3 linked regions of the Lonchura striata genome follow. The protein of the gene in region 1 interacts with the protein of each later gene in a pairwise test. Links are inferred from orthologs where the notes say so. Each region holds a gene or a part of one and is shown in the gene's direction. Other genes may lie near its edges.

What was found. The genes of interacting proteins can lie anywhere in the genome.
Region 2: the proteins of THAP1 (region 1) and TCEA2 interact in binary tests that used the Homo sapiens proteins (3 or more experiments, as listed by UniProt). The two-hybrid records come from large-scale screens. The link is inferred for Lonchura striata from reciprocal best matches to the Homo sapiens genes THAP1 and TCEA2.
Region 3: the proteins of THAP1 (region 1) and METTL13 interact in binary tests that used the Homo sapiens proteins (3 or more experiments, as listed by UniProt). The two-hybrid records come from large-scale screens. The link is inferred for Lonchura striata from reciprocal best matches to the Homo sapiens genes THAP1 and METTL13.

What each region holds. Positions count from the first base shown.
Region 1 is NC_134642.1:4,504,910-4,513,038, reverse strand, and holds the start of THAP1 (THAP domain-containing protein 1), read left to right. Parts: upstream 1-4,783; 5' UTR 4,784-4,885; coding exon 4,886-4,956; intron 4,957-5,612; coding exon 5,613-5,808; intron 5,809-8,129. Other genes in the region: transcription factor Jun, read right to left, coding at 1-793. UniProt on the Homo sapiens protein: DNA-binding transcription regulator that regulates endothelial cell proliferation and G1/S cell-cycle progression.
Region 2 is NC_134619.1:6,780,811-6,788,902, reverse strand, and holds the start of TCEA2 (transcription elongation factor A protein 2), read left to right. Parts: upstream 1-4,658; 5' UTR 4,659-4,777; coding exon 4,778-4,846; intron 4,847-5,444; exon of another isoform or gene 5,445-5,667; intron 5,668-7,247; coding exon 7,248-7,310; intron 7,311-7,926; coding exon 7,927-8,032; intron 8,033-8,092. UniProt on the Homo sapiens protein: Necessary for efficient RNA polymerase II transcription elongation past template-encoded arresting sites.
Region 3 is NC_134611.1:599,565-607,032, reverse strand, and holds the start of METTL13 (eEF1A lysine and N-terminal methyltransferase), read left to right. Parts: upstream 1-4,034; 5' UTR 4,035-4,079; coding exon 4,080-4,232; intron 4,233-5,001; coding exon 5,002-5,749; intron 5,750-6,408; coding exon 6,409-6,608; intron 6,609-7,169; coding exon 7,170-7,365; intron 7,366-7,468. Other genes in the region: ITPA (inosine triphosphate pyrophosphatase), read left to right, coding at 277-339, 420-477, 605-669, 1,194-1,267, 1,877-1,908, 2,490-2,605, 3,087-3,163, 3,418-3,538. UniProt on the Homo sapiens protein: Dual methyltransferase that catalyzes methylation of elongation factor 1-alpha (EEF1A1 and EEF1A2) at two different positions, and is therefore involved in the regulation of mRNA translation.

The sequences.
Region 1 (8,129 bases):
CGGAGGGGTAGGCGCTGCCCGAGGGGCTCAGCGGCCCCGCGGGGTTGAAGCCGCTCAGGTTGGTGTAGACGGCCGGAGGGTCGGCGGCGGCAGCGGCGGGGGCTCCCGGCGGCCCCGGGCGGGCGGTGCAGCAGGGTCCCGGCGCGGAGAGCGGCGGTGGCGCCGCCAGCAGCTGGTTCTGCTTGTGCAGATCGGCCAGGGCCTTGACGAAGCCGTCGGCGAAACCCTCCTGTTCCTGCGTCACCGGCTGCCGGTAGAGGAACGGCCCCGGCGCCGCCGCCCCGCCGCTCCCCGCCCCGGGTGCCGTCGGCCCTGGGCTGCCCGCGCCCAGCCCCGCACCCCCCTGGATCAGCAGCTGCTCCAGGTCGGCGGCCGGCGGCAGCTTCAGCAGCGGCAGCTCCGCAGCCGACCCCAGCGCGGCCTCCGGGCCGCCCCGGGCCGCCGCCGCCCCGCCGGCGCTCCCGGTCTCCGCGGAGCCCGCGGTCGGCGGCGGGGCGGCGGCGGCGGCGGGCGGCGGCGGCAGCAAGCGCAGAGCCGCCGCGCTGCCGCGGGCGCCGGCAGGCGGGCGAAGGGCGAAGGGCCCCGGGAGCGGCGCGGGGGCGGCAGCCGGCAGGTCCCGCTTCTTGCCGGCGCCCAGCAGCAGCTTCTGCCCGGCGGCCGCATCGGCTCCGGGTCCGCCGGCGGTACCGAAACCCGGCAGCGGCACGAAGTCGGGCAGCAGCTCCAGTCCTTCCTCGGGGTAAAACGGCGCCTCCATCTTCACGGCGGATCGCCCGCTACGCCCGCCGCTCATGCTGCCGCCCTCGCCGGCCGGCGGCGGCTCCGGCGCGGGGCGGGCCGGGCTGGGCGGCTGCTCCGCGGGGCCGGCCGCCCTCGGCTGGCAGCGGGGACTGAGCCGCCTCCCGGCGCCGCCGGACCGCGCCACGCCCCGGGCCCGCTGCCCGCCCCGCCGTCGCCGCCTCCCTGCTGCCGCCGCCGGTCCCCCCCGCCCGCTCCTTCCCCCGCCCGCCGGGCGTGCGCGGAACGGCTTCCCGGTGGGTGTCCGTGGGGAGCCCGCGCTGCTCCTCCCCCTCGGAAACTCGCCCCGCGGCTGCGGTGTGGGGAACAAGGCGCTGCTGGGGCCTTCCTCCGTGAACGGGGGAGTCTTCTCGGGGCCATTAGTCCGGCCCGAGGACCGGGAATTCTCAGGAGGAAAGCGAGCAAGGGCATCGCGTGGCGGCTGCTGGGGCAGGTGCCGGTGCGTTCCGTCTGTGATGGATGGGCACAGGATAGTGCAGGTGTCGAGGACTAGTGATTCTCAACAACACAGTGCTGGGAAGTCTGACGGGAAGTGCTTGGCCATCATGAAAAACTCCAACTAGTCAAACTAAAAGTCACTCAGAAGATGAAGGCCATGAATTTGATGATTTGATGTGGCCTTTTTTCCCTGGGAAAAAAAAAAAAATTAAGAAAAAGAATTTGAAACATCCTAGACATATTTCCAACATTTTCAAAATTACTGAAATGTGAATAGCATTTTTCAGTTTGGAGGTTGTATTTATTTGTTATTTTATTCAAGACAATTGCCTCTGCCTTTCCCCAAGTTTTTCAAATTCTTATGGGATAAGGAAATTTCTTTCTACGCAGTCTTTTCTAAATCCGTTTTGCTTCAGGACACCAATGTGATCCTGACAGAGCTGCTGAAAGCTCTGCTTTAAGTCTTTAAAATCAGCTTGGTGACTGATGGTCTCAGTGGCTTATCTACACATTCACAAGACCTTCTCATCTGTGATGGACCCCCTCAGTTAGGTGTCACCTTCTGCAACCTACTCATGCTTTCATGCTTTCTCCCCAGGCATTTCCTTCCTACATATCAAGACCATGTGCCTCTTCTCACAGTGTCTAGAGAAGTTGCTAAGTTCTGCTTTTAGCACGATCTGTATGGCCATGCTTTGCCCCCCTGTTCCTAAAGTTCATTCCAAAACCAGCAGTGGAGGAGGAGATGGACAGTGGTATCAAGTCCAGGACTTTGACTCATAATCCCTCTTCAAGTCCACAGAACTGGAGTCTAGGTGCACTGAGGCTTTGATGACCTTGACTCAAGCAAGTACTTTGGGGCTGCCAATTCTTACGTATGGGTGCAAGAGCTCCTTTTCAACACTGTCCAGCACCTTCAGTCCCTGCCTGGCTGTGTCACAGGTGTCACCCTCTTCTGCTTCATCTCCTGGGTGAACCTTGGACCTGTGTTTCCAGTTCTGTTCCTGGTACCATCTCCTGCTGCTCCTACCTGAATTACCTGGGTGGACCTGGTTCATCACCTCACCGTGTGTGGGTGTGTCCATTCGTGCCTGCCGTGCTCTCGTGCTGCAGGACTCTGTCCAGGCTGGTGAGCCTGGTTCTGGTCACCCCTAGCTCATTTTGCCATGGGACAAAGCCCAGCTCTTCTGGTTCTTGAGGCTGTGGCAGAATTGCTGCCCAGAAAACTGGCAACAGAGGGAGAAGAAAGCCATCAGGCACAGGCCAGGGACAGAGGCATTCACATGGGTAGGGGAGGAGTAAGCATGTTTTTCTTGGTGAGGAAGGTAGTGCTAGAAAGAGCTTATTTTGGTTTCCTTGTCTCTTGGCTGACCTAGCAAAAGAGGCAGCAGAGCTAACAGTGCTCAGCCAACAGAGTACTGAAAACATCTCATGTGAGTGACTTTGTGGAAGTATAGATTAAGCTGCTGTACAGGCTTTTCTGTCATATTCCTAGGCAAGCAAGTGGCAGTGACTGGTCCCTTCCATCAGCTGGGCAAAGAGAGCTGTCTAGGCAGAGAAGCCACAGACTCCAAGCCAAGGCAAATAAACCTTATTTTCTTTCCCTCACAAAGCAAGTGTAGACGGGGAAAGTAGGCTGAGTGGGGTCAGAGAAAAAGCCATGGAGGTTAATTTAGGTCTGGGGTTATTGTCAGTGAATTTCTAGAATATACCATTACACTTGACTGGGGTGATCCTAAAGGTAGGTTCCTTCGTCATTCCTATACAAAAACTGTCACTTATGTAGGACAGTTTTAGTTGTTGATCGAATGCAGAGTTCAAAAGTGAGCCCACAGAATGGTAACATGTTGAAACTGCTCAAAATAAACCTATTTGTAACAACAAATGGATTTGTTGAGACATCTATCTACTGTCTGCTGATGCACCTGCACACTACGTTTAGGCGAGTGACACGGAGTTGTTTTACACGACCTTAATGCAACTGTGTGTTATAGCAACGTGGTCTTCCCGTTGTTTGCTTTTGCCTTTCCACCGCCCCTCCTTTTTATAAATTTTTTATTCTTCTCCCCGAAGGAAGCCAGAACCTCCCGCGGGGCTCACAGCGCTGGGGCAGCCATCCCCGGCCACCACTGTGGGCACGGCGCGGCCGGAGCGGCCTTGAGGGAAGGGACGGCCGCAGCGCAGCCCTCGGCCCCGGGGCTGTGCCTGGCGGGGCCGGAGGCGCTGCCCTGCTGCGGATGGGGCGCGGAGAGGCGCTCCCCAGATGGTGCCGGATGGGGCGGACGGCGCTGCCCAGCTGTGGGTGCAGGGTGTGGGTAGCACTGCCCAGCTGTGGGTGGCACTGCCCAGCTGTGGGTGGCACTGTCCAGCTGTGGGTGGCACTGCCCAGCTGTGGGTGCGGGGTGTGGGTAGCACTGTCCAGCTGTGGGTGGCACTGTCCAGCTGTGGGTGCGGGGTGTGGGTGGCACTGTCCAGCTGTGGGTGCGGGGTGTGGGTAGCACTGCCCAGCTGTGGGTGGCACTGTCCAGCTGTGGGTGCGGGGTGTGGGTGGCACTGTCCAGCTGTGGGTGCGGGGTGTGGGTAGCACTGCCCAGCTGTGGGTGGCACTGCCCAGCTGTGGGTGCGGGGTGTGGGTAGCACTGTCCAGCTGTGGGTGCGGAGTGTGGGTGGCACTGCCCAGCTGTGGGTGCGGGGTGTGGGTGGCACTGCCCAGCTGTGGGTGGCACTGCCCAGTTGTGGGTGCGGGGTGTGAGTGGCACTGTCCAGCTGTGGGTGCGGAGTGTGGGTGGCACTGCCCAGCTGTGGGTGGCACTGCCCAGCTGTGGGTGCGGGGTGTGAGTGGCACTGCCCAGCTGTGGGTGTGGAGCGGAGGGCGCTGCTCAGCCTGTGGAGCGGAGCGCCGTGCCCAGCTGTGGGTGTGGAGCGGAGCGGTGGTGCTTTGCTGTGTACGTCAAGAGGAGGGCTCTGCCCAGCTGTGTGCGTGAAGCGGAGGGCCGTGCTCAGCTGCGGGTGTGTGTGGAGCGCTGCCCAGCTTGTGGAGCGGAGCGGCGGCGCTCTGCTCCGTGTGTGGAGCGGAGGGCGCTGCTCTGCTGTGGGTGTGTGTGGAGCGAATGGCCCTGCCCAGCTGCGGGTGTGGAGCGGAGTGGCGGCGCTCTGCTCCGTGTGTGGAGCGGAGGGCCCTGCCCAGCTGTGGGTGTGTGTAGAGCCGCGGCGCTCTGCTCCGTGTGTGGAGCGGAGGGCCCTGCCCAGCTGTGGGTGTGGAGCGGAGGGTCCCGCCCCGCGGCGGGTGCGGGGCGGGGGCGGAGCGCGGCCCCAGACGGGGGCGGAGCGGCGTGAGGAGGCGGCCGGATTGGCGAGCCCGCCGAGCGAGGCCCCCGCCCCGCCCCGCGCGCCGGCGCGCCCAATGGGCGGAGCGCGGCGCGCGCGGCTACCGCGAGAGGTTCCGTTGAAGCTGGCGCCGCCATCTTGGAGTCGGGAGAGGCCGCGCGTCCCGTTCCCGTCCCTCTCCGGAGGGCCACGGGCGTGGGGGGGGGGGGGGTCCGCGGGAGGCGGGGGGAGCATGGGCGCCCTGCGGTGAGTTCGCAGCGCCCCGCCGGCTCGTCCATCCCCGCGGAGGGGCCGCGCCGCGGAGGGCGCGGGGTTGGGCGGGATGGTGCAGTCCTGTTCCGCCTACCGCTGCCGGAACCGATACGACAAAGAGAAGCCCATCTCCTTCCACAAGTGAGCGCGCGCGGCGCCGGGGCGGGGTCGCGCCGGGGAGGGGCGGGGCCAGCGCGGGGCCGCGCGCGCGAGGGTGGCGGGGAGCCGTGAGGGAGCGCGCGCGGGCGGGCGCGCCTCACGGTCGGGCTGAGGGACAGGGGGACAGACCGGGCACAGACAGACAGGGGGACAGACCGGGCACAGACAGACAGGGGACAGACCGGGCACAGACAGACAGGGGGACAGACCGGGCACAGACAGACAGGGGGACAGACCGGGCACAGACAGACAGGGGGACAGACCGGGCACAGACAGACAGGGGGACAGACCGGGCACAGACAGACATGGGGACAGACCGGGCACAAACAGACAAGGGGACAGACCGGGCACAGACAGACAGGGGGACAGACCGGGCACAGACAGACAGGGGGACAGATCGGGCACAGACAGACAGGGGGACGTGTCCCCTCGCTGCCCCTGAGGCTGGGGTGCCTTGCCCCCCGCCCCGGAATCTCCCCTGGGGAAAGCCGGAGGGACGGGACCCTCGGAGCCGCCTGTTGCAGAGCGACAGCGAGCAATGAAACCCCGTTCCCTCCTCACCCCGATGAGGGGCAGGAAGATTTTTGGCTTCGTTTATCAAGCTTTCCAGAAAAGCTGAAAGTGCCTCTTGCTTGCAGGTTTCCTCTTACGAGACCCGATCTTTGCAAGAAGTGGGAAGCTGCTGTTAAGAGGAAAAACTTCAAGCCGACCAAGTACAGCAGCATTTGCTCAGAACATTTTACCCCCGATTGCTTTAAGAGGGAATGCAATAACAAGCTCCTAAAAGAGAATGCAGTGCCCACAATATTCTGTTACACTGAACCCGGTGAAAAGGTATCGCTGGCTGGGGGGCTATGTACAAATCACGGACGGGACGGGACCGCTGAGGAACGTGTCTCAGGCTGTTTATTTTTTCATATCAGTCTTATTACATGGTTTTGACAATGGGGATACAATACACAGAGCTCCATTATTAAGCTTACAGCTTCCTAATATCTCAGCAGATATACTTTTCTACAGGAGTTATTCTACCCAAGCGTTAATACACAGACCGTAGTTATATTTGTCCTTTCTACTTCTTGTATAATTTTTCTGCTGACAAATCTTATAGCTACTGCTTACCTCTAAATCACCATCCTGCTGTCTCTTTTTACCTACCTTTTACAATGTGCCTAAAACCCTCAGACTTTAAAGAATCCCACAAAAAGGTAAACCCAAAGGACCCATGCCTGCAGGTGCTAGGACATATTGTGTATGTCATTGGTTGCAGCGTGGCAGGGCAGCGAGCAGGGAGAGATGTAGGCTGGAAAAGGATGGAGGCTGGCAAGATGCTGGGCCTGGGGTCACCAGCAGGGCTGTGGTGACTGAAAACACCTCCAATAGCGTGCTTGTTTTCTCTGAGGCTCTCTGAGGCTTTGGATCACAAACTGTTGTACAGGCAGACACTGGCTCTGACCTGCTCGTGTGTCTGTTTATTCAGCATCCATGTGCTGAATTAAATGGAATGGCAGCAAAGTAAGAAGGTGTTGCCCTGTAGTCAAACTATTCCACAGTAATTCCTGCATATTCAGGGTCTGAGAGCCATCATTAATGCTTGCAAATGGCACTTGCTCTCTTCCCCTAACCCTAACCATTGAAGACATGGTGGATGTTAACTGTGAAACTTAACCAGAGGGCTGTGCTTTGGCTTTGCAAAGTAAAAGTGAGCGACAGAACCTTACCTGCACCTGCTATCTGTTTGTCCTGAGAGCACCTCTGTCTTGCCTTAACATTGTTTTCAAAAGCCATACTTGTCCCTGACTTCTGAGGGTAGAGGCTTCTGTGTGAGGTGTTCTTCCCTTCACTGTGCCACTAGAACAATTTACTGTGAGATGCAGGTCACTTATGAGTTCTCCTTGATGTAATGACTTCAAGACAAGAATGGAAAAGACTGATTTTTAACTCCTTTAAAGGATATAAAACATTTCATCTCTTTCTGCTCTGCCATAGAGAAAGTGGCAAAGGAGACAGTCGTAGATAGAGTAGGTTTGGGGAGCAAAAGACTTAAATGGGATGAAGTGCACAGAGTAAAACTCAGATTTTTCTTGTTCAATTTTTCTCTTTATGTAACATGTTGGAATGTTGCAGAAATAAAAAGGCTACACATTTGAAAAATGAAAAGTGGCTAATAACAGATAAGAATATAAACAGAATGTAAACAAGGAGACAGACAACTTACAGGAAAATACAGTTGTGTTTTTGTTTGATTGCACTTCCTTACTTATCTGTGAAATACACATTTTCTTTGTTGTGTGTAGAATACTTGCAATTTTTTTTAGTCTGAAAGCTGAATGGGTGTATAGGGTAGTCTGCAAAAGCACTGTTGGTGCAGCAGGATTAGTTGTGAGACACATTTCCAGTTTTACTGTCATACCTGGATCTACAAAAACACAGAAGAATGAGTGCCTTTTAATTCTGAAGGATTTATTTCTATTTTTATTTGTCTCATGGCACTTTTGAACAAACTGCCATAAATCTTCAAGTAACATTGTAATAGCAAAGAATAATTGTGATTGTTTTGGAGTTGAATCTACATGGATTTTGAAATACAGTCACTCTGTGTAATTTGGTATACTTTATTTTTCTTTACTTATGTCTTAGGAGAAGTACTTATTGTCTAGAATAAATAATTAGAAGTCACTGCTGATGTCATAGAGTTACCAAAGATCTCTGTTCTCTGTGATACATTGTGACCATAATAATTTGTATATAGAGGTAGCATATACACTATAGCTTCAAATAGAAGTCTCTGTGAATTCAGCAGTCCAGCAGTGATCTGATTTTTCCTTTTGTTTCTAGCAAGAATGAATTTATTTTTGCTAGCTCTACCTTTGCCTCGTAGGGTTTTTTTAGTAGAAAAATTTGATAGTGACTGCTGATAGGGTCAAGCTCTTTAGAATATTCAATTCTTTAGAATATTGATATGTGAATTAGGTAGGCTAACAGCAGCAGTTTTTTTATAGCTGAGAAATAGGACTGGTAGTTGGCTGATTTTGTACTTTCATGGGATCAGTTATATTTGAGTGCATATTAAACTTCCCTTTAATGCCAATCACCACTTTCCTTCAATACCAGTCGCCAAACTGCATTTTCAATTACTGTCTGCCAAGTTGTAG
Region 2 (8,092 bases), on another chromosome or scaffold:
CTGTGGCTGAACTGAGTGGTGCCGTGTTACCCCATGAGAAGTCAACCATTTTTCTCCTCCTCCTCCTCCCCCTCAGGAGGATGCCTCCACTGTGGCTTTTGACACAGAGCAAGTCACGAGATGCCGAGGAGGTCAAACCTGCTGCCACGGAGGGGCACTGCCATCCAGAGAGCTTCCCACTGCCCAGATCTGCAGATCGCATGGGTGAGCAGGGACAGCATAGGAAATGCTACATGGGAAAGCCCTGTGTGGGAGCCCAGGAGCCCCTGCCTTCCCACAGCAGACTTATCAAGGCACCAGTTCAGAGTGGTGCTTTCCATGGGCCAAAAGGGAAGTGCATACACATCAGACTTCTCAGGGTCAAGGATGCTGGGCAAGCAGTGAGAGGAGAGGCTGCAGGGGGCAAGGGAGGGAACCGGGGCGTGGGGAAGGAGACACAAATAGCAAAATGAATAGCTTGAACTTCCTATGTTTTATGGAGGTGAATAAAAGGAGACAGAGAGGGGGAGAGAAAGGAGACCTGAATGCCTGCACAAGGTCTCACGCTCACACAGTCCAGCCTAGACCCCAGAAACTGCTGGTGGCTGATGTGGGGTGGCAGCCTGTACCCCCTTGGCTGGCATGTCTCTGGGCTGGCTGCTTGTCTGGCCCAGTGTCCCCCAGGGGTATCTCATGAAGCGTGACAGGCTGCTGCTTAGCATTTATTCCTCTCCCTGTCATTATTGTTTTGAACAGCAGCCAGTATAATTAAAATTGTTAGGAGAAAGAGGTTTAGGGAAAATCCAAAATGTCTCAGAAGAGCATCTGCAAAGCTGGAGGTCCAAACTCCACCCTGGCACTCACGATGAGCAGGGCCCATGGGAGCCATCATCTCCTCTGCATCCTCCCTTCCATGCTCCCCGTTTCTCAGGGTGGCAGAGGCTGGGCTAACACACAGGGTGGTCCTGGCCATGTTCCCCTTGCAGCTGCTGCCCACTGTAGCTAAATCCTGCAGCTTTTCCTGGTGTAGGACTTGTCCCAGGAGGTCCAGATGGCAGTGTCCCCAGGCACCTCACCTGCAGCTCGAGGACAGATGCAGTGGGGGGATGTAAGAAGTGGAGGACATGGAGCCCCTGTGGGCTGCTCTTCCAGAATGGCATGGATGGATCTAAAATATCTCCTGGGAACCATGATGCTTTCTGTTGTGTTAGGAGGGCCTGTGCCACAAGAGGAGGTGTGGAGAGGACCCTTGGCTCCTCAGAAGAGAAAACAGGATGGTCCATAAACAGAAATGGAAGTCACCATTCATGCCACATTCTCCAGGTTTCCTAAGTGTTTGAATGGAGGATTTGACTGCTCTAGGGTCAAATGTCCCCAGTGCCAGGGCTAGGAGATTAAGGACATCAGACAGCTCCAGCAAGGAGGGGAAGAAAAGGCAGATCCCTGCCTCCATTCCAGGGCTGGCACAAGTGCATGGTTAGAGGATTAATCAGGAGCCCTCCAGCCAAGGCAGGCTGAGGGTGAAAAGGAGAGGGAGGCACATCAAAACCTCTCCCCAAAATAAGTGGTGCTCTGGCAAAGCCTATGGCAGCTGCTCCCATCTTCTGCCTCAGTGTCTCCCAGCTACTGATTGTCTGTTGCTGTCTGGATAGGATCACTCATTACCAGCTCAGAGCCCAGTGTGTCACCCAGGACAGCCAATCCTCCAAACAGTGACCTGCTGAGGTCCTGGAGATCTGAGCACCCCTGAGGTTAGGGTGTGTCTCAGGACAGAGCTTCCCTGTGGGTTTTATGGTGGGTGGATAGACAAGGCAGGCCCAGGAGTGCCTCTCATCTCTGCTTTTTCCAAAAGTGGACCAAGCCTCTGGTGGTTGGGAGCAGAGAAAGGGTGGGGTTTGATGGCTGATCTCCAAATGACTTGAACTTACTGGGGATAGTGGAAGCAACTTGATCCAGCCCATTCGCTGCGTTCAAATCTGCTGAGAGTCGCATGGGAAATACAGTAGCCCAGTGGAAAAAGCAGGTGAGATTTTGTGGGGTTTTATTTTGCAGGAAACTTCTCCTGGCTCTCCCAGATCTGCCTGCCAAGGGCAGCTGCCAGCGAGGCACCACCAACGGAGACTTTCAGGGAGTCTCTTGGTGTGCAGGGGTCAGCAAAAGCCCCCTCCCAGACTCTCCCTGATGGACTCGCCCCTGCTCTGTTTTTAGCACATTCAAGTAGCTGCTTTCACAAGAGGTAAAAGAAAGTTCATGGATCCGTTGACAGATCACCCCAAGCGGGAATTTCTCTGGGAATTCCTGCAATAGCAGGTTAGCTCCCGCGGAGGTGGAGTTTCCTCTGGATCTACCTCCACCCAGGCTTGGGGAGAGCTCTGGCCACCGGCTCCACGCTTGGGGGGCAGGGCTGAGCGACGCCACCGCTGCTTCCCAGCCAAGGTCAGCCAGAAACCCTCCCTGTCCTGCAAGCGCCTGGCCTGTTGTGTCCTGTTAACCCTTGGGAAGAGCAGAGCCACAAGCTGGCAGGCTTGGGCTGCAGAGCTGGCCCGTGCCCAGGGGCACACAGGGGCAGTGGACATGCCCAGCAGGCACACAGAGCTGCAGGCGTGAAGATTTCGTGCCATTCTGTCCCTTGGGGACTTGCTGCCAGGCAGTGGTGGGCCCTGGGTGAGGCTGGTTGCCACTGCAGGAGGCCAGCGCTGGCAGGGAGATGGCTCCTGCTTGAGGCAGGGAGTGACGGGGTGATGGTGCTTGGCATCAGTGACTGTGTGCTCTGGAATCTGAGACACGTCCCCGGCCATACTTGTGGTCAGGAACCATCTCTGCGTTGCAGCAGCACAAGCCACACTCCCAGTGGCAGCAGTGCTGCTTGAGCGTGTCTCTGACGCCAAGGACCGGCGTGACCCGACCCCACACACGGGACAGGCAGCTGCTCATTTCCAGAAGGTCCCCTTGTTGGGACTTGTTTCCTCCTCTCTAACAGAGGTGGGCCTCACCAAAATGGCACCTCCTGACTCCACAGCCAGACCCTGCCAAGGGCTGGAGGATTTCCAGGTGCTGCACAGGCTCCAGACTGTGGGGTGGAGGGAACTTGTGTTCGCAAACACACGGCCAAGCAAAGAAGTTTCAAGGTGTCATGCTAGGGAGAGGGTCCAGTGCTCACTTTTGGTCTGGGACCACCTTTGCTGCTTTAGGGATGAACTGCCATGTGTCTCACACATCCAGGGTGCAGCTCTTGCTAAAGGGTATCCCAGAGCTCCGTGGTATTTTTATAAATCTCCATGGTATTGCTATAAAGAACAGCAAGCAGGCAGCTTGCTAGTGCACAGATTTGGGGATCAGCCACCCATCAGAGCTTTAGCACTGATGTGTTCAATGCTTCTCTCTCTGGAGGTATTCAAAACTCATCTGGACAAGTTCCTGTGTCACCTGGTTTAGATGACTCTGACTTTGAAGGGTGGCTGGATGATCTCCAAGCCCTTGAGCCCTACTAATGCTGGGATTCTGTGATTCTGAGATTATGCCCTCAGTGACTCAGCCTCGCCCCAGGACAGAGTGCAGTTGGAGACGAGCACTGGGAATTCTGGTTCCCAAGACCTGACTGTGCATCCTGAGGCCACACGTAGCATATCCCTGTGCTTCCACATGATCTGCAGCTCCATCGGGGCAGGACACGGCCGCTCTCCACCAGCACAGTCAGGGCCCTCTCTGAAACATCGGCGCTTGGCGAGGGCTGTGCATGGGAGTTCTCCCTCTGCCAGGAACCAGCTGGAGGGAGCGACAGCGCTCGGCAGCATCTCCCGGGGGATGCGCTGCCCTCGCACAGTGTGCGAGTGCCATCTACAGGGGCTCTAGCCCGGCCCCCCCAAAAAACCCATCCTCTCGCCACTGCTGACTGCTGTCCAGTCCCCAAGGCCGTATGAGGGGCACAGCCTCAGTTTATCCAGGGAGCATTTATCCAGCAGTTTATCCAGCACTGCTCCGAGGGCTCAGCACAGCCACGGACAACAGTCGCAGCCACAGAATGGTTTGGGGTGGAAGGAGCCTGTAAAGCTCATCTTGTTCCAACCCCCTGCCGTGGGCAGGGACACCTTCCACTATCACAGGCTGCTCCAAGCGCCATCCATGAAACTTCCAGGGATCCAGGGGCAGCTTCTCAGGGCACCCTGTGCCAGTGCTGACACCACCCTCACAGGGAAGAATTGCTTTCCAATACCCCATCTGACCCTGCCCTCAGTCAGTGTGAAGCCGTTCCCCCTCGCTCTGTCACTGCAGGCCCTTGTCCAAAGTCTCTCCATCTCTCTTGGAGCCCCTTTAGGCACTGGAAGGGGCTTTAAAGCTCTGCCCGGAGCATTCTCTTCTCCAGGCTGAACCCCGCAGCTCCCAGCCTGTCTGCACTGCAGAGTGCTCATTATCTCCGTGGCCTCCTCCGCCCCGCTGCAGCATTTTGGGACGCGGCAGTTCCTGCCTGCCGTGGCACAGCCCCCGCCCGGGACCGGGGGTCCCTCACCGCGGCTCCGCTCCGAGCCCCTCCGCGGGGCCCCCACAGCGCCCCCGGCGGCCGGGCGGCGCCGCGAGAGACGGCCGCGGGGCGCGCTGGGAGATGAAGTCCCGCCCGTGAGCCGCGCTCCGGCAGGCGGCGGGTGGAGCTGGAGTCCCGAGGACTACAACTCCCATCGTGCCCCGCGTGCGCCCGCCCTGACTGCGGCACCGGGGGCTGAGGTGGGCACCGGGCACCGAGCGCTGCTCCCCCCGCCCGGACCCCCGTCCGGCCCCGGCGCCGATCCCGGGGAGCGGCGCGATGGGCGGGGAGGACGAGATCGTGCGCATTGCCAGGCGTCTGGACAAGATGGTGGCCAAGAAGAACGCGGTGAGTGGCGGCGGCAGGGCCCCCGCAGCCCGGTTGGCGCGGGGGGCCGCCCCCTGCCCGCTCTTGTCTGGCGGACGCGCCCCCTCCTTTCCGCAGGATCCCCTCCTCGCTGCCGCGCTGGGGCACCCCCTCCTCGGTGCCGTTGTCAGGGGCGTCCCCCTCCCCAGACCCCATTTTGGGAGCCTCTCATTCAGCGCCGCCCCGGTCCTTACATCGTGCTGGAGCACACGCTCCCCCTTTAAAGTGGGGTTCCCTCCCCCAGGCCCCGTCGCTTTTTCCTTTCCCCATCCTTTGCGGAGGTGTGGCATCCACCCACTGCCAGATATTGAGCGGGCAGCCCTGTGTGCCCCCTTGGGTGCTGTGGGAGCCTCCAGTCCCCATGCTGAGCCCCCCACCCCAGGCCTGCGGCATCCCCAGCCCGCATCTCAGCACTGCGGGGCTCACCCTGTGCTGCCTGCCCTCCTCCTGGAGAGCATCCCCAGCCCTTCTCCCCTGCCCCTTGGGAGCCTTTGGGAGGGGAGTCCCCACCAGCACCGGCCTGGGGCCCCGGTCTGCCCCCGGGGATAGCCCCGGTGCTGATGGATTTGCTCCCTGCATCTGCATCCCACACCAGCACTGCTGCTCGCTGCCGTGGCCCCTGGAGTGTGGAGGGCTGGCCAAGCTGCTGTCTGCACTCCGGGAGTCTCGCAGGGTGTGCTGTGACCCCTGTGACAGCCTGGGAGGACAGGAGCCGGTATTTTCCGGCTTAGTGGGATATATCAGTAGAAACACGGTGTCATGCAAGTGCTAAGGCAGAAAGCTGACAAGGGTTTGTGAAGGAGGTAGGCTGTACATCTGTGTCTGGGGTGGGGGTGAGGGATTTTGGGGTTGGGAAGGGCTGTGGGGAGTGGGAGATGATGGGTGAGGAAGAGGAGGCATTAGAGGAATGTGGTATTCTGTGTTAGGATGCTGGGTACATCACAGTTATCATTTATGCTGGTGTAATCACAGGAACTTTTGGTTGTTGGACTGACCCTGCCAGCCGTGGGTAGAGCAAGCACTGTCACTTGTGTCGCTGTTGGAACAGGCCAGAGAAGTGTGTTTGGGCTAAAGAAGAGCCTGTGATGTCTGTTCTTGCTCGTGGCAGGTTTTCAGCATCAGTGTTGAAATAGGAAAGGAGCAACTTTGTAGAATTTGCTTCCAGCTACATTGGGAAAGAGGCAGCTTCTTACAGGAGGGGTATGCGACATTTCCTCTTGGCTGGCGTTTGAGATAGTGCTGAACTACAGCATGTTCTGTTTTGGCTAATCTTAGAGCTCTTCCTGCAGGACAGTTTCCCAGAGTTTGTTGCTCTAGTTTTTCCGTGGATCCTCATTTGCTGCCGTTGTGCTGAGTGGCTCCACTTGGAGTCACACCGGGTCACTTCGGGTGTTCAGGGCTGGAGGAATGGGAAGGTGTGAAACTGCCTGCGGTGGAAGTCAGTCCTTCTGGGTTTGGTAAATGTGTGTGGTTTATGCTGGTGTGAGTTGATTGTGTGCACGCTGAAAGCTTTGACTCTGCTTTGATTTGGGCATCTGTTCTGTAGGGTGAATTACAGCTGGATTGCTTCCTGGGATGAGTTGGAAGCAGCCCTTCTGTGTAGGGAGGACGGGATGTGAGGACAGGGCTGGCAGTGCAGACACTTCACTTCCCTACAATGGTGGCTGTGCAGGCCTTGTGCTGCAACTGGGCTTGGAGTGGTCGGCGTTGTAAATGAGCTGCTAAAAATGAACACTGGAAGCCTTGTGTGAGGGATGGGGGTTGGGCAGAAAGAGCCAGCTGAATGGAGACAGGCCCATGCCAGGCTGGGATGTGCTAGAGGGAGACAAGTGATTTCCAGTTCTCTGAGTGACTGCCAGTTTTAGGTGTCTACAGATTCCCCATCAGATTTTTCCTGGTTCGAGGATGTAGAGATGATGTAAGGAGACTTCACAGAGCAAGTGTCAAGTGACCAACCTGTCAGCATCACAGCTTGCTGCCTTTGCTCCTGGTCTCAGCTTTTCTCCTGAGCAGAATCGGGTATTAATATGAAAACTAGGAAATAGCTACATGGAATCACTGACAGTTGTAATTCAGAATGTGTTTTTCAGGTATTAAAAATGTTTAGCGTGCCAGGTAAGAATAATAAACAGGTGCTGCACTTGCACCATACACAAACAAGGACCTGTAGCACTTCAGTGGTCTTCTGTTTTGCCCATTCCAATGATTCAGGTGCCTTCAAGTTGCAGGATCTATTGTCTGGAACAGCACCCAGCAGTGCACTTGCTGATGTTTCAGGGAACATTTGGTGGTTTTCCCTTTGAATTCAACTTTCTTTGTCTATTCCCAATAAAATTCCTTTAATAAAAGCTGAGGCACTCATTCTTTCTCTTTTCCTCTCCAGGAAGGTGCAATGGATTTACTGAAAGAACTGAAAAGTATGCCTATGACTTTGGATTTACTGCAGGTGAGTTGCACAGTTATGGTAACAAGCTTAAGTTTACATCCAGATGAGTTCAAAATGTTCTCTAAATAAACTTAATAGATTTCATCAGACTTCTCGCCTCATGCAAAGAGTAAAAATAAACATTAAATCCAACAAAATAGTGCAGAAGTTAGGTTTTGGACTGGCAGTTCAAGAGCTCTGGGTCACTGTGTGTAATTGCTCAAATCTTGTTTGTAGGCTGCAAAAAGAGGAAAGACTGGGTTAAAGTAGCAAACACAGAGGGCAGTCGTGGGAGAAGTTCTTTGTAATGTTGATATTTAGAACTTTGGGGAGGAGTGAGCAGAATTACAATTTGGAGTCTGTGATGCGGTTTGGAGTTTTTCACTCTAAGCTTGAATGTCACAAGTGTGTAGGGAAGGGATTTGTGGGAGATTGGACGTGTCTTCTGTTCAGCTGTGCAAGCTGGAGAGTGTCACCTTGCTCTTCCAAAATTGCAAGGATCATAGAATCATTCTGCAAGCCTTTGGATACTCCTGTCCTGGTCATGGCTTTGACTTTGTCGTGGTTATTTGAGATTTCAGTTAGGAACTAATATTGAATCTGCTCTGGAGTGGTTCACTGGGATGTTCCCTTGCAGTCCACCCGCATTGGGATGTCAGTGAATGCCCTGAGGAAGCAGAGCACAGATGAAGAAGTGATATCACTTGCCAAATCCCTCATCAAATCTTGGAAGAAACTTCTAGGTAAGGAAATCAGCATGTTCCTGTCAGATTCAGCTTGTGAACAAGCTGCCTTCAGTGGGA
Region 3 (7,468 bases), on another chromosome or scaffold:
CAGCAGCAGGGCTTGCAGCACGGTCCCCCTGCGATTCCCCAGGAGGAGCGGCGCGGGCTCCGCCGGCCGGGCTGTGAGGGGCGCGGGCCGGGCGGGGCCGGTTGCCATGGCGACCCGGGCCGGCAGTTCCCGCCTGTCTGGCGTGGGCGGACGCCCTCCCCATTGGTCGGACGCTGCGGGGCGGGCACGCTTCCCGTTGGCCGAGCGCTGCGGGGCGCGGCGGCGGCGCGGGCGCTGATTGGTGGGCGGGCGCGCAGGGCCGCGCGCGCGGTCAGCATGGCGGCGCCGGCGCGGCGGAGCGTCGTGTTCGTGACCGGCAACGCCAAGAAACTGGAGGAGGTGAGCGCGGCGGGAGCGGGCCTGGCCGGCGGGCCCGCCTCTCTCCCTCCCTCCCTCGCCACTCCCTTCTCCCTGCGCAGGTCACGCAGATCCTCGGGGACTCCTCTCCCTACACGCTGGTGGCGAAGAAAATCGACCGTAAGTTGTGGGCAGGGCCTGGCGGGATGCGGCGGCCCGGCCCGGCCCGGCCCGGCCCGGCCCGGCCCGGCCCGGCCCGGCCCGGCCCGGCCGTGTGCTCAGCACCGCCCCATCCCCGTGTCCGCAGTGCCCGAGTACCAGGGGGAGCCAGACGAGATCTCGGTGCAGAAGTGCCGCGAAGCCGCCCGGCAGGTCACTCGCTCCTTCCCCTTTCCCGGCGGGATGGGTGTGCAGGGACCCCAGGCAGGGAAACTGAGGCATCCCAACCGGCCCGTCCTGGCCTCGCTGCTCTCCCGCCACCCGGCTGCTCTGGTTTGTGCTGGTGTGTCCCTCTAGCAGCGGGAGGTCACGGAACCTCCTTCAGTCCAGGCCCGCTGGCTGCAGGACAAAGAGTTCTGTCTGCTGAACATTCCAGAGCTGGCTCTGGGATGGGTACCCTGCAGGCATGCCTCTGGAACACAGACTTTCCCTTTCCTCGTCCTCTAGGATGTTAGGGAGCGTTCAGCTCTGCTTGTTTTTCTCCATGGGAAACCTTCCCTACTGTTCTTCAGCCTCTCTGGCCTGCCTGGGGGAGTTTGGGTTTGATTGTCTGTCTGGTGTGTGCTGCCTTTGAGGTCAAGTGGAAACACGAGGATGGGCCAGAGCAAGGGAATGGGTTTGGAGGCAGTGCCTTCCTTTAGGTCTAATGTTTTCCTTCTCTTGGGCTGTCACTGTAGGTTCAGGGGCCTGTTATAGTAGAGGACACCTGCTTGTGCTTCAATGCCCTGGGGGGCCTCCCAGGACCCTACATGTAAGTGGCTGTTTCCCCTTTCATATGCCAGGGTTAGGAGCACAGGCTGGCAGGGTTGGCCTCACACTCCAGGAGCAGTGGGGTCAGGGAGGTGATTGCTGTTTCCTGCCCTTCATCCTGCACCCCAGGGGCTGCACTGAGCTCCTTAAGCTCTGTGGGAAGTTATGGAGCAGGAATAGAGAGATAGACCTGGGCTGCTGGCTCTGGTTTCCAATCTGTGGTGCCTGCTCTAGCAGCTTGGGAACCTGTCCAAAGAGCAGGCTCTGTGCAGTAAAGGCACCAAGCCTTTCAGCAGGACTCTGCCATGAGTGCCCCACAGGTTCTCCTAAGGATAGCTTTAATCCAGAAGAAAACAAAGTTATTATGTATTTATATACATAATAACTAAGATACAGTAAATTAAATACCCCACTGCTGTTTTCACTGTGTCCCCTTCAGCTTAAGAGGTAAGTCTGTCCTTCCTGGTAAGTGCTCTAGAATGAGTGATCCTACAGCACACTGAGAGGGATTCAAAGGCCTATGAAAATGTAAGCAACAATGTCACAAGGATGCCTGTATTTCTGAGAGATAATAGCAAAAATTGTTCTTCCCTCCTCCCTTCCTTTTCAGAAAATGGTTCCTGGAGAAACTCAAGCCAGAAGGTACTGCCCTCATGTTACTACTCTGTGTGTAACCCACTCCTGTGCCCCTGAAGTGGCTCCCTACCCATGCTGGGAGAGCCAGCAGGTTCCTCGAGCCTGTTCTGTACCCTCCTTCCTGGGATGTTGTTTTTCTCAGTAGTTCTATCCCTGGATTCCCAGGCTCCTGCTGCAGCCTGGTGGCAGGGCTCATGGGAACATCTCGTTTGTGCTCAGTGTGACTTGGAAGATCTCCTGCTCCCTGTGGCTTCAGGGCAAGCCTCTCTCCAATAATGCTCCCCTTCCCTGCTGTGCCTTGATCCCACAGTTCAAATCCTTTGCTGGTCTCATTAACATGAGTACTAATCACCTTCGGGCACCAGGGGCTTTAGCTGTGCTGGGTTGCTTCCTCTCCCAAATTCATAGCGGGGCTCTGGAGATGGGACCTGAGGCTCTGGCTTCAGTCACAGCAGGGATGCTGGTGCCTGAGCTCTGTCACCTCCCGCGGTGGTTGGGAATGCCACGTAGAACACCTCCGTGCCTGGGTGGCTGTGCTGTGCTCCTGGGGAGCAGCAGGGACTCCAGGCTCCCCTCTGTGTCCCCAGGCCTGTACAAGCTGCTGGCTGGCTTTGAGGACAAGTCTGCCTACGCGCTCTGCACCTTCGCCTTCAGCAGCGGGAACCCGGAGGAGCCAGTGAGGCTCTTCAAAGGCCAGACCCATGTAGGTGCTGTGTGCTGGGGAGGAGGGCCCTGCTGGGACTTGGGTGGCAGCACTGGCTCTGTTGAGGACACTCGTGGTGGCCTCTGGGTCACTGAATGTTGGGAGCAGGCTTAGGGGGAGCGCAGCTGGTGGGTGGGGGTGCTGAGGGTGCAGCCCTCTGTTCAGTGGTGCTCACTGAACTCTGCACGTTACCCCAGTCTCCTCAGCCCCATCTCCCCCTTACAGGGCTGTATTCAGGTACAGTTCTTAGCTCTGTTATTTGGAGAGGTCAGAGCACTGTCAACATAAGGCAGCGTGAGTTTGGAGCTGCTGATGCTGGCCACATGCTGGGGAGGGGACAGCTCCCTGCAGGGCCTGTGGTGGCTGCACTGTGAGCTATGGCAGCGTGTCTCTGTCTGTGCTGCACGGGAAGTGCAGTCTTTAAGGGTTTTTTGTGCTTTTTGGTGTTCTTTTAAAGTTTTTCTGTGCTTTCTCATGGCAGGGACTGATAGTGGAGCCCAGGGGCCCTCGGGATTTTGGCTGGGATCCCTGCTTTCAGCCAAATGGCTACAACCAGACGTAAGTGATGTTTTACCTACAGCTCTTTGCGTAAGGCCAGCCTTGGTCAAGGGTGTCCAGGGGAACTTGCTTGTAAGGAAGGGCATCAGGGAGAAATGTCCTCCTGGATGGGAGCAGGGTGGGTGATGGGAAACCCCCAGTTCAGGGCTTGTGTCACTACCAATGCCTTGCTGAGCCAAGCAGGGAGGCAGAGGGGAGCTCCAGGGATATGCTGTAGTGTCTCTGCTGCTGACACTTGCTTCTGTCCCCTGCAGCTACGCTGAAATGCCCAAGGCAATGAAGAATTCCATCTCACACCGGTACAAGGCGCTGAGTGAGCTCTCAGCCTTCTTTCTTCAGAGCGCCTCGCCAGAGCCGCGCCCCACTCCCAGCTAGCGCCCGAGCCGCGGGCTCACACAACCGCACGGAACTCCTGGGTCCAGAGGACCTCTGGAGATCTCCCAGTCCAAGCCCTGCCAAGGCAGGTGCTGTGCATGTCACACGCAGCGCCGGCAGAGACTCCCGCCGCTGCGGGATGCCATTAAAGCTGCTCCTTTTGAACGCACCGCTGCCTCGCTCTCCGCTCTTTTTGTTGCTTCAGCAGAAACCCGCGGGTGTGCGCTGTTAAAGCTTCGCCCTTGTGATGCGGGAGCGGCTTCGGAGCGGAGCCGGCACCGGCACCGGGCGGGGGCGCGCCGGGGCCGCTGCGCGCTGGAGCGCGGAGCAGCGCCGGGGCAGCGGCAGCCAATGGGGAGCGGCCGGCGCAGCGGCAGCCAATGGGGAGCGGCCGGGGCGGACCCACTGGCCAATGGGGAGCGGCTGAGGAGGAGTCAGCCAATGAGCGGCGGGCGCGCCGCGCAGCCGGAAGCGGTCAGCGCGGCGGACACGTGGGGCCGCGGCGGGAGCGGGGCCCGGCCCGGCCCGGCCCGGCCCGGCCATGGAGCTGCTGCCCCGCAGCCCCGCCGAGTTCGGCTCCGCACGCTACTGGGATCGCTTCTTCCGCCAGCGCGGGCAGCGGCCCTTCGAGTGGTACGGGGCCTTCCCGGAGCTCTGCCCCGTTCTGCACAAGTATGTGCGGCCCCGCGACAAGGTGAGCCCCGGCTGGTACCCAGCGCTGTGTCCCCTCCGGGCTCCGCCTGCGCGGCGAGCTCTGAGGTTGTTTTGCCTGTAGAAGAGGAGGCTCAGGACTGACCTTATCGCTCTCTACAACTCCCTGAACGGAGGTTGTAGCCAGCTGGGGGTTGGCTTCTCCTCCCAGGCAACCAGCAACACGATAAAAGAACACAGTCTTGAGCTGCGCCAGGGCAGGTTTAGGGTGGACATTTGGAGGATTAATTTCTTCAGAGAAAGGGCGCTTAGACATTGGAATGGACTGCCTAGAGGGAGGTGATGGAGTCACCGTCCCTGGAGATGTTTAAGGAGAAGTGGGACATGGCACTCAGTGCTGTGCTCTGGTTGGCATGGTGGTGTTTGGTCATAGCCTGGCCTCCATGTTCTTAGATGTCTTTTCCAGTGGTTGGTTCTAGTTGGTTCTGTGTGCGAGGTCTGACACAGATGATATGAAGCCCCCATTGTGCCTTAGCAAGAGGATAGGAGAGACCTCTAGGTGGCCCTGGTCTGGGCAGCTCTGGGGGTTAAAGCACCAACATCCTTCTCAAAAAAAATGCAGCAGATGCATCACTTCTCTGCCCACGGGACTGTTCTCTGTGGATATGTTATCTTAGGCCATGGAGAGTGAGTTTGCAGGCCCTGAAGGTGCGGTTTTCACAGACACGTCTGATATTTGCTCCTAAAATGGTGGTGGGAGGAGTATTTCCAGGGTGTTATCACCATCACGCTGCTCTTGTGCTGCTGCCCAGGTTCTCGTGGTGGGCTGTGGGAACTCGGAGCTCAGTGAGCAGATGTACGACATGGGGATGTGCCAGGACATCGTCAACATCGACGTCAGCGACGCCGTGATCCGTCAGATGCGGGAGCGCAGCGCGAGCACCAGGCCGAGGATGAGCTACCTGCTGATGGACATGCTCCAGATGGACTTCCCTGATGGCCACTTCCAAGCGGTCCTGGACAAAGGCACGCTGGATGCCCTCCTGACCGATGAGGAAGAGGCCACTTTAGCCAAGGTAGACCAGATGTTTGCTGAGATCAGCCGGGTCCTGCAGGTAGGAGGGCGCTACCTCTGCGTCTCCTTGGCTCAAGCCCACGTGCTGAAGAAAGCTGTGGAATACTTCTCCCAGGAAGGCTGGGTGGTGCGTGTCCACCAGGTGGCCAGCAGTGGGGACCAGCAGCAGTTTGTCCTGCCGGTCTTTGTGTATGTGATGACAAAGTTCAGGAAGATGCCTGGCTCGGCAGCACGGATCCTGGAGATCTGCCCTGAGGAGCAGGACAAGCCGATGCGGGTGGAGAGCGTGGAGCGGCTGGTGGCAGCGGTGAAGGACAGGCAGCATTATGCCCTGCTCTGCAGCCAGATCAGCAAAACCCCCTGCAGGGAGCAGGTTTCCTTGGATCTGTGTGACAGAGAGAGTGGGAAGCCCCGCTACACGCTGCACGTGGTGGACAGCCCCTCGGTGAAACCTTCCCGGGACAATCACTTTGCCATCTTCATCAGTGAGTACAGCCTGTCCAGGCTGCAGTCAGGTTCTTGCCCTGGCCATGAGCTGCCAAACAGCCAGCCCTTTAGGGCCTGTTGAATGTGGGGCTGGAGAGAGAAATTACCCACCTGCGTGGGATTGGGGTGATGTTTTAGTCCTGGTTTTGCCATGGGATTTGTACTTGCCTGGTGGTGCAAGCAGAGGTGTGGCACAGAGCTTGTTGGGCAGAGGGACCCTGCCCAGCCTCCAAGGTGGTGGTTCCTGCCTGGATGCTGGTGACAGCCAAGTTAGCTCCTTGCGGCTGGGAAGCCATCGCTGCTCTCTGTGGGTGTCCTGGCTTGCAGGGCCAGACCCCTGGGGCTGCACTCACAGACATGTGTCGGCCTCTGCCAGCAGCACCATTCCCTCCCTGCATCCCTGCAAACCTGGGCCTTGGCAGAACCTGGAGACAGCTCAGGAGCTTGTTGGACCCCCCCCCCCACTTCTAATGAGATGTGGCTTTTTCAGCTTCTTGCATGAGCCTGCCCAAAACGGGGGAAATCCTGGCTCTTTTGAAGGTCACAGTGCACGGCTCTAACCAAGCAGTGCTACCTCCCTTAAATGTCCTGCCATTCCCTGTGGCAGGAAGGCTCGAGGGCCAGGAGCAGCCCAGGCTGATGGCAGCCCCTTCTGCAGTTCCACAGGGCAGGGAGACCGAGTGGCTCTTTGGGACGGAGGAAGGGCGGAGGCAGCTGGCAGCCAGCGCGGGCTTCGGGCGCCTGCTGACGGTGGCCCTGCACAGGGAGCAGCACTACGAGGGCATGGCCGCCATCCAGGCAGAGCTCTCGGGGAAGGTGATGGAGCTGGCCCCGCCGGGCCTCCCTGCCCGGCAGCAGGTGAGCCCCCACTGCCTGGCCCCTTCCCCAAAACAGAGCCAGGCTGGCTCTCTGCCAGTAGGGAAACCCTCTTCTCCAAGGGAGACCAAGCTACAAGGCTGGATGCCTTGGTGGGCAGGAGATGGGCCTCAGGTGCAGCTTCTCATGGCTTTCCCTCCAGCTCTCTGTCTGTGCTTGGAGGCAGGATTTGAGGTTCTTGTGTGGTAGGATTCAGTATGAAGTCCTTGCTCTCCAAAACCCAGCATGCTGAGAAAAGCGGAGATCTAGAAATCCTAAGAGCATCCAGCCCCCTGTCTTAATTAACTTCTGTTCCTTCTGTTTTCTCCTTCCTGCCCGAACAACACACATCTGAGTTCTTGCAAAAAAACCTTGCTGTGTTTGCTCCCCTGTGTTCACTGTGGGAGTGAATCTAGTGAAGATCCCCAGCTCTCCTGTGGCATCCCACTGCTCCTCTTGTGTCTGCTTCATCCTGGCCCTGTAGCCATATTCAGGACAGTGGGAATGCCAAGCTCTTTTCCTGTAGCTTTTCCTTGCTCCCAGCAGCCCCTCTCCTCCCTGCAGGTGCCCTTCCTGTCTGTGGGAGGGGACATCGGGGTGCGGGCGGTGCGGCACTGTGGCAGCAGCCCCCTGAGCGGGGAGTTCGTCGTGGAGGACGTGAAGGGAGATGGCACCTGCTACTTCCGCCGCCTCGTCTTCCTCCAGAACAGGAACGTGGTGCAGTCTGAGGCTCGGCTCTTGGCCCCCAGCCCTCTCCCAGGTATGCGGGGCAGAGGCCAAGGCTGATTTTTTACGGTGACAGAGAGTGAGAGCAATACAGGAAGAAGGTAGAAGGCCTCCTGGGACCTGCCTGTGGTGCCCCA